Linked DNA regions of Kluyveromyces lactis. The protein of the gene in region 3 purifies or fractionates together with the protein of the main gene of each other region. This does not show direct contact. Links are inferred from orthologs where the notes say so. Each region holds a gene or a part of one and is shown on either strand. Other genes may lie near its edges.

The links.
Region 1: the proteins of CYM1 (region 3) and LAT1 purify together in Saccharomyces cerevisiae (affinity purification with mass spectrometry, with the first as the bait; 3 studies listed by BioGRID). This does not show direct contact. The link is inferred for Kluyveromyces lactis from reciprocal best matches to the Saccharomyces cerevisiae genes CYM1 and LAT1.
Region 2: the proteins of CYM1 (region 3) and LPD1 purify together in Saccharomyces cerevisiae (affinity purification with mass spectrometry, with the first as the bait; 3 studies listed by BioGRID). This does not show direct contact. The link is inferred for Kluyveromyces lactis from reciprocal best matches to the Saccharomyces cerevisiae genes CYM1 and LPD1.
Region 4: the proteins of CYM1 (region 3) and PDB1 purify together in Saccharomyces cerevisiae (affinity purification with mass spectrometry; 3 studies listed by BioGRID). This does not show direct contact. The link is inferred for Kluyveromyces lactis from reciprocal best matches to the Saccharomyces cerevisiae genes CYM1 and PDB1.
Region 5: the proteins of CYM1 (region 3) and PDA1 purify together in Saccharomyces cerevisiae (affinity purification with mass spectrometry; 3 studies listed by BioGRID). This does not show direct contact. The link is inferred for Kluyveromyces lactis from reciprocal best matches to the Saccharomyces cerevisiae genes CYM1 and PDA1.

The regions. Positions count from the first base shown.
Region 1 is NC_006042.1:462,004-466,163, reverse strand, and holds LAT1 (dihydrolipoyllysine-residue acetyltransferase), read left to right. Parts: upstream 1-1,635; coding exon 1,636-3,057; downstream 3,058-4,160. Other genes in the region: ribonuclease H2 catalytic subunit RNH201, read left to right, coding at 1-802; flavin adenine dinucleotide transporter FLX1, read left to right, coding at 4,115-4,160. UniProt on the Saccharomyces cerevisiae protein: The pyruvate dehydrogenase complex catalyzes the overall conversion of pyruvate to acetyl-CoA and CO(2).
Region 2 is NC_006040.1:950,407-954,324, forward strand, and holds LPD1 (dihydrolipoyl dehydrogenase), read left to right. Parts: upstream 1-1,642; coding exon 1,643-3,124; downstream 3,125-3,918. Other genes in the region: tubulin-binding prefolding complex subunit GIM3, read left to right, coding at 1-173; KLLA0_D11143g (uncharacterized protein), read right to left, coding at 313-557, 646-691; SEC59 (dolichol kinase), read right to left, coding at 3,833-3,918.
Region 3 is NC_006038.1:73,317-78,178, forward strand, and holds CYM1 (pitrilysin family metalloprotease), read right to left. Parts: upstream 3,294-4,862; coding exon 345-3,293; downstream 1-344. Other genes in the region: mRNA-binding protein NPL3, read left to right, coding at 4,123-4,862. UniProt on the Saccharomyces cerevisiae protein: Degrades mitochondrial transit peptides after their cleavage in the intermembrane space or in the matrix, and presequence peptides; clearance of these peptides is required to keep the presequence processing machinery running.
Region 4 is NC_006042.1:881,896-885,470, forward strand, and holds PDB1 (pyruvate dehydrogenase (acetyl-transferring) subunit E1 beta), read right to left. Parts: upstream 1,948-3,575; coding exon 883-1,947; downstream 1-882. Other genes in the region: TDP1 (tyrosyl-DNA phosphodiesterase 1), read right to left, coding at 3,007-3,575. UniProt on the Saccharomyces cerevisiae protein: The pyruvate dehydrogenase complex catalyzes the overall conversion of pyruvate to acetyl-CoA and CO(2).
Region 5 is NC_006042.1:1,099,724-1,103,547, forward strand, and holds PDA1 (pyruvate dehydrogenase (acetyl-transferring) subunit E1 alpha), read left to right. Parts: upstream 1-1,705; coding exon 1,706-2,944; downstream 2,945-3,824. Other genes in the region: ARX1 (putative hydrolase), read right to left, coding at 1-698. UniProt on the Saccharomyces cerevisiae protein: The pyruvate dehydrogenase complex catalyzes the overall conversion of pyruvate to acetyl-CoA and CO(2).

The DNA.
Region 1 (4,160 bases), on a different chromosome or scaffold from region 3:
ATCGATATTGGAAAGTACGGATGAGATCATCCTGGGAGTAGATGAAGCAGGAAGAGGACCTGTAATGGGCCCCATGGTTTATGGTATCAGCTATTGCACGCGTCAATATGAAAAGGACGTAATATGCAAATATGGATTCGACGACTCTAAGAAACTAACCGATCCAGTGAGACAGAAACTGTTTGCCATGATCTACGGAGGAGAAATAGACGGAGTTGGATACGCTACAACATCTATAACTGCATGTGATATCAGCAGCGGGATGTTCAGGTTCCCACCAGAAAAGAATTACAATTTGAATGAACAGGCGCACGATGTGACAATCGCATTGATAGACGATGTATTGAAATCTGGTGTTAAAGTAGGTCACGTGTACGTCGATACCGTGGGTCCGCCTATCTCGTATCAAAAGAAATTGGAAAGTATCTTCCCACAGTGCAAATTCACCGTTGCGAAAAAGGCTGATTCTATTTACCCCATTGTAAGTGTTGCGAGTGTGGTAGCAAAAGTGACCAGAGATATCATCCTTTCACAATGCAAGAAAACCGAAGATGAAATCCTTGGGTCAGGGTATCCTGGTGACTCAAAAACCGTTCAATGGCTACGAAACGAGATGAAACCATTGATGGGATGGTCTCCCTACATGGTACGGTTCTCTTGGCAAACATGTGCCACGATGCTCGCAAATAGTAAATCTACCATCGAAATAGAATGGGAAGAAGACGCAATGACCAAGAAAAAAATGCAGTGGGCACCCGAACAGAAAAACAGACCTATTACACTTGATTCCTGGTACCAGTAAACCCTGACTCATTTCCATTTATCCTACTATCTATATATACAACGTATTATGAATTTATCTATTGACAGTCGCGACGCTGTCATCAGATTACGAAATAAGCTACCCGCATTCGAGATTTGCATTGCCTGGCACAATTGTGGCCACCGTTTAGGCCGCTGGCACTAGCCAAAAATTGACACTAGTAAACTCCCTACACCACATATTAATCGGTAAGTTACTCTACTCCATCAATTGTGAAAGCATTTATACAGCTCAAGAGCAGGTTTGGGATTGAGATAAATATCATCTCGAGAAATACCATTATATAAAGCTTTATAACTATCACGACGGAAACCCTTCTAGCAGCTATCAGTTTGCAGCGGATCACGGGCATGTTTCTGTTCATCCCACCTTCTATCCCGTCGCACCATTATAGTGTGGATATTTTGGATTTCGAAAATTCTGAAAACTGAAATTCTCAAGAAATAAAAGGAAAAAGGTTAGATGGGAGAACATTTATCTGTAAATAACATCGATTAGATTGCACAAGAGAAAAAAAAATGATTGTGATTCGCTAGTGCATTTGACGATACTATTGGAACACTGATTACACCTGTTGGTAATTGATCTCGCTTGAAAGAAGAAGATTGAAATAATACATCAAGCCTTTTCCTCCTTCATTTAGAACTGAGATATCAATATTTATTAAGGTTACATTTCACTACGAATTGGACACAGGAATTGACTGTACCAGAAGATAAAATCGGCTTACATTTGATATTCAATTGTATTAACCAAGTTACGGGAACGAATCAATTGTTTGTGTACATATATTAAGAAAAGAACTAGGAAAAATGTCTGCATTACTTTCTAGAGTTGCTCCAAGAATGAGCGTCTTGGCTTGTGCTGCCAGACTTCAATTGAGAACGTATGCTTCTTACCCACCATACACCATCATTGGTATGCCAGCTTTGTCTCCTACCATGGTTCAAGGTGGTTTGACGGAATGGAGTAAGAACGTTGGTGACAGGTTGGAGCCTGGTGATGTCCTTGCTGAAGTTGAAACTGATAAGGCTCAAATGGATTTCGAATTCCAAGAAGAAGGTTATTTGGCTAAGATCTTGGTTCCAGCTGGTACCAAGGATATCCCAGTGAACAAGCCACTTGCTGTTTACGTTGAGGAAGAATCTGACGTTCCAGCTTTCGCTAATTTCACTGCTGCAGACGCCGAATCTGCTACCGCTGCTAAGGAAGCTGCCAAGAATGGTGCTAAGCAACCTGCAAAGGAAGAATCCAAGGAAGAATCCAAGGAAGGTGCTAAACCAGCTTCTAAACCAGCTGCCAAGAAATCCTCTGGATCTTCTGCTTCTTCAGGTACTAGAATCTTTGCTTCTCCATTGGCCAAGAGCATCGCTTTGGAACATGGTGTTTCCTTGAAGGAAGTTGAAGGTACTGGTCCAAGAGGCAGAATCACTAAGGATGATGTTGAAGCCTTCTTGGCCTCGGCTCCATCTCGTGAATCCTCCGCTGCTAAGGCCGCTCCAGCCCTAGCTGCCCCAACTCCAGCATCCGCCACTTATGAAGATGTTCCAATCAGTAACATGAGACAAATCATCGGTGACCGTTTGTTGCAATCCACTCAAAATATTCCATCATACATTGTTTCCTCTCAAATTAGTGTTTCTAAGCTTTTGAAGTTGAGACAATCCTTGAACGCTACTGCTAAAGACCAATACAAGTTGTCCATCAATGACATCTTGATCAAGGCCATTGCTGTTGCTGCTCAGAGATGTCCAGATGCTAATGCTTACTGGATGCCAGAACAAGGTGTCATCAGAAAGTTCAAGAACGTTGACGTCTCTGTCGCTGTTGCTACCCCAACCGGTTTGTTGACTCCGATCGTCAAGAACGCCGAATCCAAGGGCCTTGTTTCCATTTCTAAGGAAATCAAGGACTTAGGTAAGCGTGCTAAGGATAATAAGTTGAAGCCAGAAGAATTCCAAGGTGGTACTATCTGTATCTCTAACTTGGGTATGAACCCTGCCGTTTCCATGTTCACCTCTATCATCAACCCACCACAATCTACCATCTTGGCTATCGGTACCGTTAACAAGGTCCCAGTCGAAGATGCTGGTTCCGAATTCGGCTTCACCTTTGACCAAAAGATGAATATCACTGGTACTTTCGATCACAGAACTATCGATGGTGCTAAGGGTGGTGAATTCATGAAGGAATTGAAGAAGGTTATTGAAAACCCATTGGAACTATTGTTATGAACAGATTCAGAACCTAACAAATCTAATGATCAAAAATAATAAAGTTAAGAATTTCAAAGTAAAGAAGAAAAAAGCCTACCCACCAACATTCCAAAACGAATTCTCCTAGTCGAAGTTTTTCGACCGTATGCCAATAGCCACGCTTTCCTTTTAACAACGTTGTAGGTCAGTTATGACTTATTCGACCCACAACCTTGCATGGAAAGAATTCGATTTAACATACTGCAACTATGTAAAAAATTACCATTTCTATAGATATAATGTAAGAAATTGAATATCTCATGTTTTTACCATTCCTCGCAATCGCTTTGCATAACAGCACTCTCTCCGATTTACTGTATATACTACTGAACTTATTCTCTCATAGCAGTCCCCAAGGTTCTTTTAATATTTTAGACCACGTGACTGTTTTTACATTGCCCGAAATACAGGAATAAAGTTGGAAAAAAAATGTTTACAAAAGAAGACAAGTTTGTGCTAACACTTTGACCAGGTAATGTATCTTAATTGCAGGCTCAGTTCCCTTGACCTCGTTGAACTTTAACCGTTAAGAGACAAACATTACCGAAAACAGATCCACCATGGCATTCTTACCATCATTTATTCTATCCGACGAATCCAAGGAACGTATTACTAAAATTCTGAATCTAACCCAAACCGTTGCGCACTATGGCTGGTTACCATTTATTCTATACTTGGGCTGGACTCATACTTCTAACAGACCACACCCATTGAACCTATTATCTCCTTTGCCAAGTGTTTAAAAAAGCTGCTGAGTGATTCCATGCTCCTACAGAATATGTCCTGTTTACACGTATATCTATGATCCATGTATGTGTATATCTTGTAAATATATTACATTATATTAAGTTTATTCCAGTATTTGGATTTTAGCATATAATATTTTACCATAAAATATAATGAACATTATTGTCACCATTTGAAAAAATATAGACGCTGGTTCTACCTTCGGCATCCTACGACTGAGTAAATTGTATATGTGTTGCATCTACTCCGGCTAAATTGCAATATCTGCGTACATACTAGTTTTTGCCTGATGGATGCAACATCTAATTCAGTTTTGAGTCCATTGCAGAAGGAAA
Region 2 (3,918 bases), on a different chromosome or scaffold from region 3:
TCGTATTTCTAAAACAGAAAGAAGTAGTTGAAAAGTTAGAATCCGATGCTGAAAACATCGACAGCAATATAGAAAAGCTAGAGAGCGATGAGGCGGAATTGGACTCAAGAATAAAAGAGCTAAAGAGTATATTGTATGCCAAATTCGGTGACAACATCAATTTGGAACGTTGAGCCCATAAATATACATTGCTGAAGTGCTTGATAGAATTGAAAAAATATCCTTAAACCGAGTAATATATGTTTGCGTATAAAATCTACATAGAAAATAATAGTAAAGACCGACACAACGTTGATTCAGTCCATAATGCAATCAAACAGCATGTTCTTTCAGCCCACCTAACGCATGAACCTCCTGGTCTTCTTCTATTTCAAGCCCCCAATTAAAATGTTGGTTCATTTCCTTGAATTTAGCGACAAACTCTTCTGGCAAATCCAAACTAAACCCATTGAATAATGTATATTCATGCGTTATAGTCCCATCAAGTTCATGTGCCACATTCACTAAATCATTGTAGTATTGGAAGCTGTCAGGATATATAACCATAAGTGAAGATACTGTATTTGACGATGACGATGATGATGTTAGTAAAGTTGAGAATTAAAGGGAAAAAAAAGGGTTAAGAAAATCCGTCCTTAAACATACACGAACTGGCCAACGCCGTTCCAATAAAAATAGGTGCAAATCTCATATCTGCGGCTAATGCTTTGTTATTACTGTTGCTACTCTATTCTTTGTTCTTGCTAACAATCTCCCTTATCCTTCATATATCATGATTCATTATTCTTTTATATGGATATCATATCTCATAGTGAGTATTTGGCAGAAGGAAAAACTGGTAATCAAAAAAAAACAACGTGATCATAAATTAATAAACGTTACCCGGTTTGAATCACGTGTTAATCACGTTCTTGATAGCCCGCCCTGCGCCTTTCGTGTCGGCCCCCGTACGGCTTCCGTTTTTTTAGGTTCGTTTCGTTATTTTTCAACTGATTTCATTCAATAGTTTCAATTTTTGTCGATTCCGAAGGTTTCCCTGTTCCCCACGTCAAGACAGTTGCAACTTTTTTGTGATGAGCCGTCGCCTTTATAGATCACACCAGCGAAACAGCTTTTCACAAAGATACTTCTGTTCACTGTGTTATCCCATTTCGATAATTAATAGTAATGACTCTGGCAGTTTGGAAAGCTCAATAGATTGATAAAAAAAAAACTGGTTCTTCAACTTAAAAGTTGCGCAAAGGAACGATGAAATATAGATCAGTTAAATAAGTGGTCTTCTCTGGAATACTACAGTATTTTTTCGAATTACAATCCGTTCAATTATATAATTGTAGTTTATATATGGTCCGTACCGTAGTGAATCACCAAACCCTACCGCATCATGCTGGTATTTGAGTCCTGTAGATCAATTTTCTTGCTATTTAATTGATCAAACCGTCTAATAGTTGTATTTATTTGGGATCGTAATCTTTTTTTTCCATTCCAATTGACATTAATATAAAAGGAATTCACTAGGATATTTTATATTTCAAGAAATATATCAAGTGAAACCACAGAGAAAGGGTTCAGATAACGTATAAGTAAGAGGTTAGAGGATTATCTTATTTATCTTGTTTATTTATATCCGCCCTAATCAAAGATGTTGAGATTCAATTCTACCCGTTCCTTTAGCTCTTCTGCTCTTTTGAAAACCGTTACTAAGAAGCACGACTTGGTCGTTATTGGTGGTGGTCCAGGTGGTTACGTTGCTGCTATCAAGGCTGCTCAACTCGGTTACGATGTTGCTTGTGTTGAGAAAAGAGGTAGACTAGGTGGTACTTGTTTAAACGTTGGTTGTATCCCATCCAAGGCTTTGTTGAACAATTCTCACCTATACCATCAAATGAAGACGGATGCTAAGCAAAGAGGTATTGATATCAACGGTGAAATCAACATTAACGTTGCTCAATTTCAAAAGGCTAAGGACACTGTCGTCAAGCAATTGACTGGTGGTATTGAAATGTTGTTCAAGAAGAATGGTGTCACTTACTACAAAGGTTTAGGTGCCTTTGAAACTGACAAATCCGTTAAGGTTCTTCCTGTGGAAGGTCTGGAAGGTTCCGTTACTGAAGATCACCTCTTGGAAAGTGACAGGATTATTGTTGCCACTGGTTCTGAAGTGACTCCATTCCCAGGTATCACCATTGATGAGGAAAGAATCGTTTCTTCTACTGGTGCTCTTTCCTTGAAAGAAATCCCAAAGAAATTGGCTATCATCGGTGGTGGTATCATCGGTTTAGAAATGGGTTCAGTTTACTCCAGATTGGGTTCTAAGGTCACTGTGATCGAATTCCAACCTCAAATTGGTGCTACCATGGATGGTGAAGTCGCTCAAACTACTCAAAAGATTTTGAAGAAACAAGGTCTCGACTTTAAGTTGAGCACCAAGGTCTTGTCTGCCTCCAGAAACGGTGACGTCGTTGACATCGAAGTCGAAGGTGCCAAGAATGGTAAGAAGGAATCTCTCCAAGCTGATGTCTTGTTGGTCGCTGTCGGCAGAAGACCATACGTCGCTGGTTTGAACGCTGAAAAGATCGGTTTGGAAGTCGACAAGCGTGGTAGATTGGTCATTGATGAACAATTATCCACCAAATTCCCACACGTCAAGGTTATCGGTGATGTTACCTTCGGTCCAATGTTGGCTCACAAGGCTGAAGAAGAAGGTATCGCTGCTGCCGAATACTTCAAGGTCGGCCACGGTCATGTCAACTACGGTAACATCCCGGCTGTCATGTACTCCCACCCAGAAGTCGCTTGGGTCGGTAAGACCGAAGAACAATTAAAGGAAGCTGGTATTCAATACAAGATTGGAAAGTTCCCATTCATCGCTAACTCTAGAGCTAAAACCAACATGGACACCGAAGGTTTCGTTAAGATTTTGATCGACGCAGAATCTGAACGTTTACTAGGTGCTCACATCATTGGTCCTAACGCTGGTGAAATGATCGCTGAAGCCGGTTTAGCATTGGAATACGGTGCTTCTGCTGAAGACATCGCTAGAGTTTGTCACGCTCATCCAACTCTATCCGAAGCTTTCAAGGAAGCTAACTTAGCTGCTTACGCCAAGCCAATCAACTTCTAATTTTTCTTGATAAAGCGAAGTGGAAAAAAAAAATTGCGGATAATTGAAGCTGCTTGATATCAATAACTATAATAAGCTACTTAACAATGGTACGTCGTATCCAGTTGTCGTCTATTTTTTTTTTTATTTATCTCGCCATCTGAAGCATCTTTCTTCTTATATATTCCTCGAATCATTCTTTGATTTCAAACTATACATTGAAAAGTAAAGATTATCAAAAATAAATAGTAAACACGTATAATATATTTAACGTAAATGATATGAAATGTTTGTAAACGAATTCTCAGAACATTCTCAGCTTGTGTGTAATAGGCACCACATCGTTATATCAAAAAAAGAGATCATTGGTCCAGAATGAACAGGGGAAATAAAAAGATTGGACGAGTCCGGAGTCGAACCGAAGACCTCTCCCATGCTAAGGGAGCGCGCTACCAACTACGCCACACGCCCTAATTTCTTATTAACAAGAGTTTTGAGTGAACCATCACCACTCCGTGTAAACATGATTTTCTATTTATATCATTACGTTTCACAATACTAACTTATAACGCATTTTGACCATTCAAATCTTATTCAGAAGCAAGAAAGATGGAAACATGGTCAGTGAAGTACCCTTGGAACAAAAATAGGCCCTAATCTATAAATTTACTACATACTCAAATTTTGAATATATAGGTTTTGCATAACAGGTTTGACTATCTATCAATACTATTCCTTCATAGATTCCAACAATATCAACATGAAAGTTGGAATTAGTAAGTTATCATTCAAAGTACTATTACCTTCCAAGATGC
Region 3 (4,862 bases):
TTTTAAATTTCAAACCGAAACCTATATATTTTATTATATTCTTCGCGATCTGAACTGTCGTGAAAATCAACCATGCAATAAAGGTGTTAAAATTCGAAGTTTTGATCTTTGGAAACCAAACAAATATAGAACCAACCATACGTAAAAGACGCGTTTTTTATGATGATTACACGTGATCGATATTGGCAGATGTTAAGTTTTATCAAGGAACAAGGGATATAACTCTGCCGTGTGCAAGTACGTCTAGGCACTGCGACGCACAATTAGTAATTGGGTATTGTGAGTTATAAATACATATATATATATATAATGTGGTTGTATTATGTACAAGAAAGAGCTTCCCGTTACACGGTTTGAACTAAGGCATCAAAATTTGGGATTTCCGGACCAACTATGGAGGCAATGGATTTATCTTGCTTGAGGTATTCCTCTGCCACTTGATGTATATCATTCAAGTTGACGTCTAAAAGTTGCTCTCTACGACGTTGTTTCATTTCGTCTGTTACGTCGTAATGGAATAAAATGGTACCTTCGTTTTTGGCGCTCATTGGGGAGTCTACTTGTTGGAAGACACTCAATTTCGCTTCATTCAAGTCTGGTTCACCCCACGAAGACTTGTTCAATATGAATTCTGGAACGCTATCGAATGTGGACAAAGAATTTAAAGCGTGAGGATCCCTGTAAGAATAGAAACTGAAAGTACCATCCAAAGCGCTGTAAGTAGCACCACCACCATATGCGCCACCTTTTTCACGAATTTCACGGTGCAAATATTTGTGTGTCAACATGTTAGAAAGGATTTGTAGCTTAGCGCCATCAGGATGGGTATAGGAAACGCCTGGGTAACACTTGGCGGTGTAATGAACCTGAAATGGGAACTGGAGTAGGGTTGGTTTACCTGGGTTTTCCAACATTGAGTAATTCTCAGAGTAGAAGTCACATGGTTTTGAATCCTTGGGTAAGGAGCTCAAAAAGCCCGTGATTTGTTGGTGAACTGCATCGATTTGAACTTGAGAATCACTGGTGATCATGAATTTCATGTCTGAACTGCCATTTATATATGATTGAAGCTCAACCAATTTTGAAACCACTTCTTTCTCAAATAGTGCTTCATCATCCAAACATTGAGATAACTTATTGATTAACTGTAACTGTTCGATACCGTTTAAACTTTCGTTGATGGCTTTAGTTACACTTAAATGAGCAGCACCGAAGTTCCGGGCAAAAGCATGACCAGTCTCAGCCACAGACGCTGTGTTTGAAGATGCTAATGATCTTATTAAGACCTTTAGCTTTTCTTTGTGCTTATGGAAATCAGTTTCACATAAAAGTTTCTTCCAAAACTTGAAGATGTGATCGGTTTTGCTGTTCAAAGCCCATCCATCAACTTGGAATAGCAGCATAGGCTTACCAGTCTGTGCATCTGGATTTACAGATACGCGAGTTGAGACACCGCCAGTGTGCAATTTGATTTGTTCTTCAATGGTGGAAAACTCTTCAGTTGAAGTACCAAGGTTCGTCAATGAGTCTGCGTATAATGGTAGGAAAGGATAAAGTTCTCTTGGAATATGGTGGTTTAGTAAACGCTTACCTCTGACGTATGTAATACCATTGGTATCGGTAATACGATTTAAAACATTATCCTTCTCTAACAATGGGTATGTCTTTGAAACTCTTGGAATTGCACTAATTTGCAATGAAGGAAGGCAACTCAAATCCTCTTTGAGGTCCTGTAGTTCTTGCAATTGTTTACCACGTTCGAAAATGACCTTTTTGTCTTCTTCGTCAAGGAGCTTTAACTTTCTCTCCAAACGTTCTTGTTCCTCAGCATCAAGTTTCTGAGAGAACGTTTCTGAGCCCTTCATGGTGAATTTGAATACAGGTTTTGAAATCACGAATTCTTTGATTAAGTCTTTGAATAAATTATCACCCTTAGTGGCCCAATCTTCTTGGAATCTTTCTAGTGTCTCATCGAACAATAAAGAATCAAATGGATCAGTCTTGTTAACCCATCCTGGTAAAACCGAGTACAGTAATTGTAAACCGAAATCTGCCCTTTGGTCTTTCTTAGATAACTCTAATTGTTGAATGATTGCTTGGATCCTAGACTCCTCAAACGGATTCTGTAATACTTCTTCCCATACTTTGTTAATAACTTCATATATCGAATCCACTTCATCACATCCTTGAACACCAATAGTGATAAAGTTTGCAGCAGTCTGCGACTCTACACCAGTGTTAACTGAAAAGTCGTACGCCAGCCCACTTTCAATTAGTTTTTGATAGAAAGGAGAGGAATGTCCGTCTAATAATAAATTACCCAAGATCTTCAATAGAAATGTTTGGTACGTGTCTTCAGGTTTACCACAAATCCAAGTCACAGAGGTCTTGATCTGTTTATCCGGTGGTAACATAGGATCAACCTGTCCTTCGGTTTCTACAGAAACATCTTCTTTCATTTGGATTGGTAATAGTTCCCTCTTCTTAGAACCCCTTCTACCATAACCTTGATATTCTTTATTCAACCTCTGTAAGGTATTGTTCAAATCGAAGTTCCCGTATGTAAACGTCTTAGCATTAGAAGGATGGTAATTATTTCTGTGGAAACTGATTAAATCTTCATATTGAAGATCAGTCATTTTAGTTGGGTCACCACCAGAGTTATTCAAGGATGGATAATAGCTTTCTTGAAACTTAATCCAGAAATAATAGTTAGCATTGGATACTTGACCCTTCATTTCATTGTATACAACACCTTTGAAACCTATATCGCTGTTTGGATCATCAACCTTAGTGTGTTCAAGCCTCCAACCTTCTTGTAGGAAATCTTGCTGATTCAACAATGGATTTAGAGTTGCATCAAGGTAAACGTCTCTTAGATTAGCAAAATCCGTCTCATTAGTGGTAGCAAACGGGTAAAAAGTATAGTCATGACCAGTCATAGCGTTCATGAAGTTTGCCAACGATCTGTTTAACATCTTGAAGAACGGATCGCGAACAGGATACTTATGAGAACCGCAAAGAGTTGTGTGTTCCAAAATATGTGGCACACCAGTTGAATCCGGGGGATTGGTTTTGAATCCGATACTGAACACGTTGTTGTTATCATCTCTATCAATATGTAAATGTTGTGAACCGGTTTGGTTATGCAATAAATCCACGGCTGTTAGCTTTAGTTCAGGGACAGGAAGTAATCGTTTCACTTCATATCCGTGAAAAACGCCACCTACTGGGTACTTCCTCAGCGCCCGAGACTGTGCATATTTTGTGGCATAGTTACGAATTTGAAACATGGTATTTTATAATGCAAGAATTCTCCACCTGGATTTAGATTCAATATTCCTTCGCTTATATTTCAAACCCAGTTTTTTCGATCTTGGTATATTAATCAATGATTACTGTCGTCAACGATTCTATAACGATTTATTGCGAATAAATAGATAAAAGAAATGCAAAGAGAAAACGAACGGTCAAAATATCGGAAATATCCCCTCTAAACTGCTAGTTCGCTTGGCTTTTCGTTTCTTGCCTCTGAGATAAATTCGCTAAATTGACTTATCAATATGTTAAGAGACCTTTGGCATGCTCTAGTATCTTTCCTCCAGGATTCCATACTATCGAAGAAAAACAGCTATGAACTACGGTCTCACTTCTGACGAGTTAAAAAAATGAAAAACTGAAGTTCAAGTCACGTGATACATGTGTCACTCTTACCTTTCTGTATAACAATGGTAAATACAAGTAGCAATGAGAGCATTTGATCAATATAGCCTCTCAGATCGTATTTGGTAGGAGTATGACTTGTATGAGGGCTTATATCTGTGCATGCGATACTTATCAGCACTCATTCTAAAAAGACTTGTACCGAGGATTCCAGAGTTTTACCCTACCTACCAAACCTTGTTTGACACTATTCTCTTCTGTCTTTTCTTTTCCCGATGTTCATTTAAAATTTTCACTTTCTCCTATATATAAAGACATATTTAAAACCTGGTTTTTGGAAAAAAAATTCTACTCCATCATCGTTGAGTGGCGTTGCAGTATTGTTTTTGACTAAGATATTAGTGTTTCACTTCTTTTGCTCAAGGTACAACCAAGAACACTTACTCGCGAAATATCAAGATGTCTGACGTTCCTCCTCCTCCAGCTGTCGAAGAAGAAACCTATGAAAAGCCATATGAAAAGCCATATGAAAAGCCATATGAAACTGCTCCACCACCTCAAAGTTATGAAAATTTCAATAATAGAGTTGATGACGATGAAGAGCTTTCTGATACCAGACTATTTGTGAAGCCTTTCCCTCCAGATGTCACTGATGCTGAAATGAAGGAAATTTTCGAACCTTTCGGTGCTTTGAAGGAAATAAAGATTTTAAATGGGTTCGCTTTTGTTGAGTTTGAAGAAGCTGAGTCTGCTTCCCAAGCTATTCAAAACGTTGCCGGTAAAATGTTTGCCGACTACCCATTGGAAGTTGTATTTTCCAAGAAGTTAAAGCCAAGATTCAGAGTCATTATCAGAAACTTGCCAGAAGGCTGTGCTTGGCAAGAATTGAAGGATTTGGCCAGAGATAACCAGTTAGAAACTACTTTCTCCAGTGTCAACACCAGAGACTTTGACGGTACTGGTGCTCTTGAATTCCCAACCGAAGAGATCCTGCAGGAAGCCATTGAAAAGTTGAACAACATCGAATTCCGTGGTTCAGTTTTGGCTGTTGAAAAAGATGAAAACCCACCACCAATCAGATCCTCTCGTGGTCGTGGTGGTTTTAGAGGCCGTGGCGGTTTCGGTCGCGGTGGCTTTGGTGGCCGTGGTGGTTTCGGCGGTCGCGGTGGTTTCGGCGGCCGTGGAGGCTTCGGTGGTCC
Region 4 (3,575 bases), on a different chromosome or scaffold from region 3:
TTTCTTAACATTTCAACTGAAACCTTCTAGCGTAACTGATAGGTCTCTCTCCTTACCTATTCAATTCATTCCAGTAGTACGTCAAGTACGCATTGGATGGCCTAAAAGTGCCTGATTGTGTGTACATGCGTAAGTGTTTGGCTAATAGTTCTTAGCGAAAAAAAATACTTCCCCATAAACGACGAATATTCTGCCATTTCAGGCAAATAGCTGCCCTTATATTTGTTAACAACTTGGTAAGCTTAATTTCCAATTTAAGTGTTATGAACCTCTCTCCTGGTCCAGTCTTAAACCCTCTAATGTATCCTACATCGCTAAAGCCATTTCAGCTTAGAAAGTGTAAAAGACAATACCTTGATGGAAATAACGACAAGTTGTACAGAAAGTAGCGCACAGCGTCTTGTTTTAACGGCAGAATATATATATACAGTTTAATCTCATAACAACCGCAGTTGTCCCCAAATACCTTATTGTTCCCATCTCTAGTGATGAAAACTTTTCTTCATCATTACTGATGGGCAACATACATGAAAAAAAATTGTAAAATCTCTAATTCATCAACTTACCTTTACCAGCGAATAATTCAACGACAGGCAACTCTATCTCATTCTATTTCCTAATCCAAAATCGTGTATTAACTGAACTTGGTATTCATATCTTAATAATATAATATGTTTTAATTTTTCTATTTTTCTTTGAAGTTTGTAAATCAATTCATAACTTAGTTTATTGCAACAAAGGAGTACAATCATAAGAAAAACCGAATGCGAATGAACCATCATGCACTATTCCTTATCCAATGAATATTCTCTTTTGTTTTGATAAAAAACGGAGGCCAACAGAGGTGCATAACTGTCAGTAAAGAAAGAGTGCACGGTGCAATCATTCAATAGACAAAACACTTTTAGCAGCTCTGACAATGGTGTCAGGGTCTGGGAAAGCAAAATCTTCTAATTCCTTAGCATAAGGAGTTGGGACTTCAGCACCAGTAACTCTTTGAATTGGAGCATCCAAATAATCGAAGGCTTCAGATTCCATAATTTGAGCGATAATTTCAGCACCAACACCGAAAGCTGGGAAAGTAGATTCAACAGTAATCAAGTGGTTGGTCTTCTTGACAGTGTTGATGATAGCTTCAACATCCAAAGGTCTAATGGCTCTCAAATTGATAACTTCAGCAGAAACACCGTATTGCTTAGACAAAATTTCAGCAGCTTCCAAAGAGAATTGAACATTTCTGGTGTAACTGATGATAGAGATATCAGAACCTTCTCTTTCAACCTTTGCTTTGTATGGCAAAGTGAAATCAGTAGACAGAGATTCTTCAGAGACTTCGAAAGATTGACCGTATAACAATTCGTTTTCCAAGAAAACAACTGGGTTTGGATCACGAATGGCAGCCTTCAACAAACCTCTAGCATCTTCAGCAGAGTATGGAACCAAAACCTTCATACCTGGAACAGAACCGTACCAAGCAGAATAATCTTGGGAATGTTGAGCAGCAACACCGACAGCAGAACCGTTTGGACCTCTGAAAACGATTTGACATTTCTGAGTACCACCGGACATATAGTAAGTCTTAGCAGCGGAGTTAATGACTTGATCCATAGCTTGCATGGAGAAGTTGAAAGACATGAATTCAACAATTGGCTTTAAACCCTTCAAAGCGGCACCAACAGCCAAACCAGTGAAACCCATTTCGGTAATTGGAGTGTCAACAACTCTTCTTTCACCGAAACGGTCCAATAAACCCTTGGTAACCTTGTAAGCACCATTATATTGAGCAACTTCTTCACCAATGATGAAAACATCATCATCACGGTCCATTTCTTCGGCCATGGCAGAATTCAAAGCTTCTCTGACGGTCATGGTCTTGGTAGAAGCAAATCTCATGGATTGAACCACAGAAGGAACAGCCCTCTTAAAAGTGTTAGAAAGCATCATCATGTTGTATTAGTATTTAATAATTTTGCCAGTTGAAAGTTTTTATCAATCGGGTACTAACGTTTCGTTTCACTACGTGTAATTCTTCTTAACCTTTAAAATTGTCTTCGCTTGTAAAACGTTTACTGAACCAAAGGAGAATGAATATTATACTAGAGTTTGATATCTTTTCGTTTTTCTTTTTCTTTTAAAGGTAGAAGAAATAATGTTTTGATAATTCGAAAACAAAAACGAAGCAATAAACAAACAGACAGAAGTTGTTGAGATGCGTTTGTTATAAGACAGACAAATTAGATAGTCAATTGTCAATTCTATAACTAAAAAGGATCCTTTTCAACTGAATTCTTTTTTATAATTTCTTGAATTTGATATTATTTTTTCACTGAAAAAAAATAAAAACTCGTTCTTTGACCTATTCAACAAATAGACGTTAGCCTCAGGGAACCGCTAATTGAGTGGGATTGGATGAGAATCTGTAGTAAGATTTATAAAACCTTTAAGAAATTATAAAGTAAGATTAAACAAGTATTGAATTACAGATCCATAAAGTATAAAAAATGAAACACAAAACAGAAGATAATACAATGAATAAAGGAATAACGACTCTAAAGAACTAACAACTTCCCTGGTGCTGAAATGACCCTCTTATATTTCTTTATATATTGGTGAAATCAAAATCCTTTAAAGGAATATATATGCGCTGCATAAGCTTTTTTTTATTCGTTTCGACTGTACGGGTCGAGCGATTCGCGGGTTGCTATACCGTTGTATTTATCTCATAGATATGCTAGCGCATAGTAAGTGCGCCATCACAAATCTGCTGAAAAAACCTGTTTTGGCGACGGGAGAATACGACATAGCAGATGAGATTGATGGAGGCGATGAGGTGTATAGGTGTTCAAACGACGGAAAAGGGTGGGGGCACGTGATGCGTGGGAATGATGCGGACATTGTCAATTTTTCTGTTATTCCGGTGTGATACCTAAATAATCCGGGTAACGTAAAGCGCTGACAGATGTCAGCGCCTTAGAATGTTGTTAGATGGTATTATTGTGTATATCATCATTGAACGACAGAGGTATAAGGTTCGTCAGTTGCTGAGTAACGCTGAAATTTCAATGGATACGGCGTCACCACTTTTACTGTGGGCAGAACAGTTATGTCTTCGGGTACCCTTGACCCAATTGTTCTTCCTGGCGGTTGTTGGGCACTTGCTAGTGTTAACCGTACTTTGTTTCTCCCCATGGTTGTCGTGTATAGAATACCGCATTCGTAATTGGTAGGTTTTTTTAGTGGGCTGGGACCCCATGCAGCTTGGGAAAGGTTATGACTGGTGAGTAGTATCCAATCTGGTCGCTTGAGTGTATTTTCATCTGTGAATTGTATATAATATTTGGTATGGCTTGGAACCATATGCCTATTCTTATCGGACTGTGTCGCGTTTGTTGGCAGAGGGACATGTTTTCTTAAACAAGGCACTACTTTCCTCTCAGTTTGTTCTGATCTTTTGTAAAAAAACCAATTTGCACTTAGCCCCTGTGTCATACACTCTTTGATCTCGGTTTTAGTAGGCCATACCAATGTCGAGTGCGCTAGGAACGGTGTCGTATATTCCTTGGATTTCAATTTTT
Region 5 (3,824 bases), on a different chromosome or scaffold from region 3:
ACGGTCCTAATCAAGGAACCAGTGACCTTCGTAGCGTTGAAATCAGCTGGAAGTTTGGTCAAATCGTTTGCAGCAGCTAATAAGTTAGTGACGGACTCAACAGCGATATGGGTGGCAGCTAGAGCATCAGCTTTACCACCTAGCAAAGCAGCTTCAGGTAGCAATTTTCCAGATTGGGCATCCTGAACGGTTGGGTAAATGACCACGGTGTGGGACACGTTACAAGTGTACCCATCGATGTGACAACCCAAAGTGATCTTAGCGACATCACCAACTTTCAAAAACCCAGACAAACTAGAAGTAACACCGTTACATAGCTCGATCGATTTGGTAGATCTAGATTTTTGGTTCCAACGGGACAAGTTTTCGATGTCATCCACTTCAGGACACCAGTTCTCGTTTATTTCATCGATATCAATACAAGTTGGCATTGAGATTCCCTTCTCGTTAACCTTATTGTTGAACTTAGTACTTAAACAATCGGCTATGAACGAATCAGTCAATAAACAAAGTTGATGAATCGGTAGCGGCTCCATAGACTTCTCATGATACATCTTATTGATCAAACTGATCAAAAAGTTTAAAGCAGTCTGAGCAATTTGACCTGCAGTTCTATATTTCTCAATTGTTGGTTCGATCAATACATTCTTATCTTTCAATAACACCTGAGTGTCTTCCTTTGAGATTTGTAACGCCATAGTACGGATAATTTTATCCACAAATTATTAGTATTAGCTGTTTTCTGATACAAAGGAGGGAACGATACACTATGATAATGATGTAAGTATGTACCTCGTTTCTCTTTACCTCATCTCATCTCATCGCTTTAAAGTTTTCACTGATACTTTTTTTTTCCAAATTTCTTTCCTGGATACAACCTTTCCTGCCACACAGCACTAAGATATTTCAAAAAATTTTCCAAAATATTACCCGGACCTCGATCAGAAGAGAATGAAAAAGAAATCACTTTCTGATCACGTGCGCCAAAAGTATTAATATTCGGGTAATGTGTATCATTAGAACTCATGACCCGCATATTATCCGGGTAATAGATCTGCTGCCCATGTTCCACCCAAACACCGCGCTGTGCACGTCACTTTTCCCACTCTTTCTAACAACAATCCCGTCTGTCTAATTGAATCAGCACAATAAACTCTACCTACACCAGACGAAACTGTCAGATATCCCATAATAAGTAGAATATCAATACTCTCCGCATCATCAGCTACCCAACGGTTCAAGTTTGACCCCAATTAGAGCAAAATTGACCTTGCTTATACCCACTTCTTGTTATTTCAAGTCCCTTATCTATACCGACTGGCTGGCTACGAAATTTTTTGAAGTTTTTTTCCCAAGTTCACAAGTATTTAAAGGCGGATTTAATTGTGAATATGATGAGAAACAGTTGTTGCGTGATTAAGAACCTTTTTTTGGTCTTTCAGTGATACTGAGCCAAGCAATTGATTAATTGACTGACTGATTGATTGATTGATTGATTTTTGTCAAATTTTTTGGAACAAGGAATCGTTCATTAGTTGGCTTTTTTTTGTTTTAATATAGAATCAGGAACTCAGAGCTTCTTCTTCTTTATTTCTTCTCTATACAACATATTTTGCCATCACTACTGCTGAGTGTGTATTTGTGTGTTCTAATTGTTGGTCGCTATAGTAGTTAATACCGAAAAGAACAATAAATTAGGCAAACCATGCTATCTTTGAAAGCTCAATCCTCTGTGGTTGGGAAGTCCAGCTCTTTGAGATTGGTTAGAAACTTTTCTAAAAACGTCCGTGCTTTGTCCCAGGTTGCTGATGAAACTAAGCCAGGTGATGATGACCTAGTTCAAATTGATTTGCCAGAAACCTCTTTTGAAGGTTATCTTTTGGATGTTCCTGAATTAAGTTATCAAACCACCAAGTCCAATTTGCTACAAATGTACAAGGATATGATTATCGTTAGAAGAATGGAAATGGCCTGTGACGCTTTGTACAAGGCTAAGAAAATTAGAGGTTTCTGTCACTCCTCTGTCGGTCAAGAAGCCATTGCCGTTGGTATTGAAAACGCTATCACTAAGCGTGATACCGTCATCACCTCTTACAGATGTCATGGTTTCACCTACATGAGAGGTGCTGCTGTTCAAGCTGTGTTGGCTGAATTGATGGGTAGAAGAACTGGTGTGTCCTTCGGTAAGGGTGGTTCCATGCACTTGTACGCCCCTGGTTTCTACGGTGGTAATGGTATCGTTGGTGCCCAAGTCCCATTGGGTGCTGGTTTGGCCTTCGCTCATCAATACAAACACGAAGATGCTTGTTCTTTTGCCTTGTACGGTGATGGTGCCTCTAACCAAGGTCAAGTTTTCGAATCCTTCAACATGGCCAAGTTATGGAACTTACCAGCCGTCTTCTGTTGTGAAAACAACAAGTACGGTATGGGTACCGCTGCCGCAAGATCTTCAGCCATGACTGAATACTTCAAGCGTGGTCAATACATTCCTGGTTTGAAGGTTAACGGTATGGATATCTTGGCTGTTTACCAAGCTTCCAAGTTCGCTAAGGACTGGACTGTCTCCGGTAACGGTCCAATCGTTCTTGAATACGAAACTTACAGATATGGTGGTCACTCTATGTCTGATCCAGGTACTACTTACAGAACCAGAGATGAAATCCAACACATGAGATCTAAGAACGATCCAATTGCAGGTTTAAAGATGCACTTATTGGAATTGGGTATCGCCACGGAAGATGAAATTAAGGCTTACGACAAGGCTGCTAGAAAGTACGTCGATGAGCAAGTCGAATTAGCTGATGCTGCCCCAGCTCCAGAAGCTAAGATGTCCATCTTGTTCGAGGATGTCTACGTTCCAGGTTCTGAAACTCCAACCCTAAGAGGTAGATTGCAAGAAGATACTTGGGATTTTGCTAAGAAGAGCTTTGCTTTCAGAGATTAGAGCAAGAACGAATTAGGTAATTGAACGTTAAAGTTAACTTCTTTGCGTTTATCCTTTTTTTTATTCCCATCTCTCTACTCTTCCCTTTTCGAAAGACAACTATATTCCTATAAACTGCCCTTTCACAATATTATGCTATAAGGTTCACAAGATGATACTATTTGTATAGTGCATCTGCTATTTTCCACCAATCAATATTAAAGTACCAAAATCATAAAAAAACACCTTTTAGATACAAGTGTTTTTTATTCATTTCATTCACGGTATGGTTTCTATTCAGATAACTGTTTTTTTCGGTTTTAAAACATGAATGTTCATCTGTGACTTCTCATTCTCTCTCTCTCCATGAGACTTCGTTGATGCTTATTCTCAATGCCGAGAACATTATCTGGTTACTGATGCCTGCCATTACGGATTACCTGCGTTTTAATTTCTTCCCAAACAAAACAACGATACAGAATTTTCTCATTACTCCCAAAAACTACCTCAATAATTCGTGCTACAATCTTCTTTTCTTACGTTGATCTTGCGCCTGTTATAAACATGATTTATTGTGAACTAGGTTTTGTAAACTAATCTGACATTGTTCTTCACCATAAATTGTCTCTCCCCTTTTTGGTTGCTACGATACAATGTCGTCAAATGCGAAGCCGCATATTAGACAGATGAAAAGTTACAATACCTTGTCCATCATTGAATCATCTACTCACCTTTCTAATGACTGATCTCACGACGACTTACCCCAATAATCATCTCATCTCTATTTACTAGACTTACATCTAGTCTATATATAAATTGTATTTACTGAATTAAAGTATCATAGATATACTAGAGACAGTTTTGTCACCCTGGTTCCAGAGTCACTGCAGGACCCTACTCA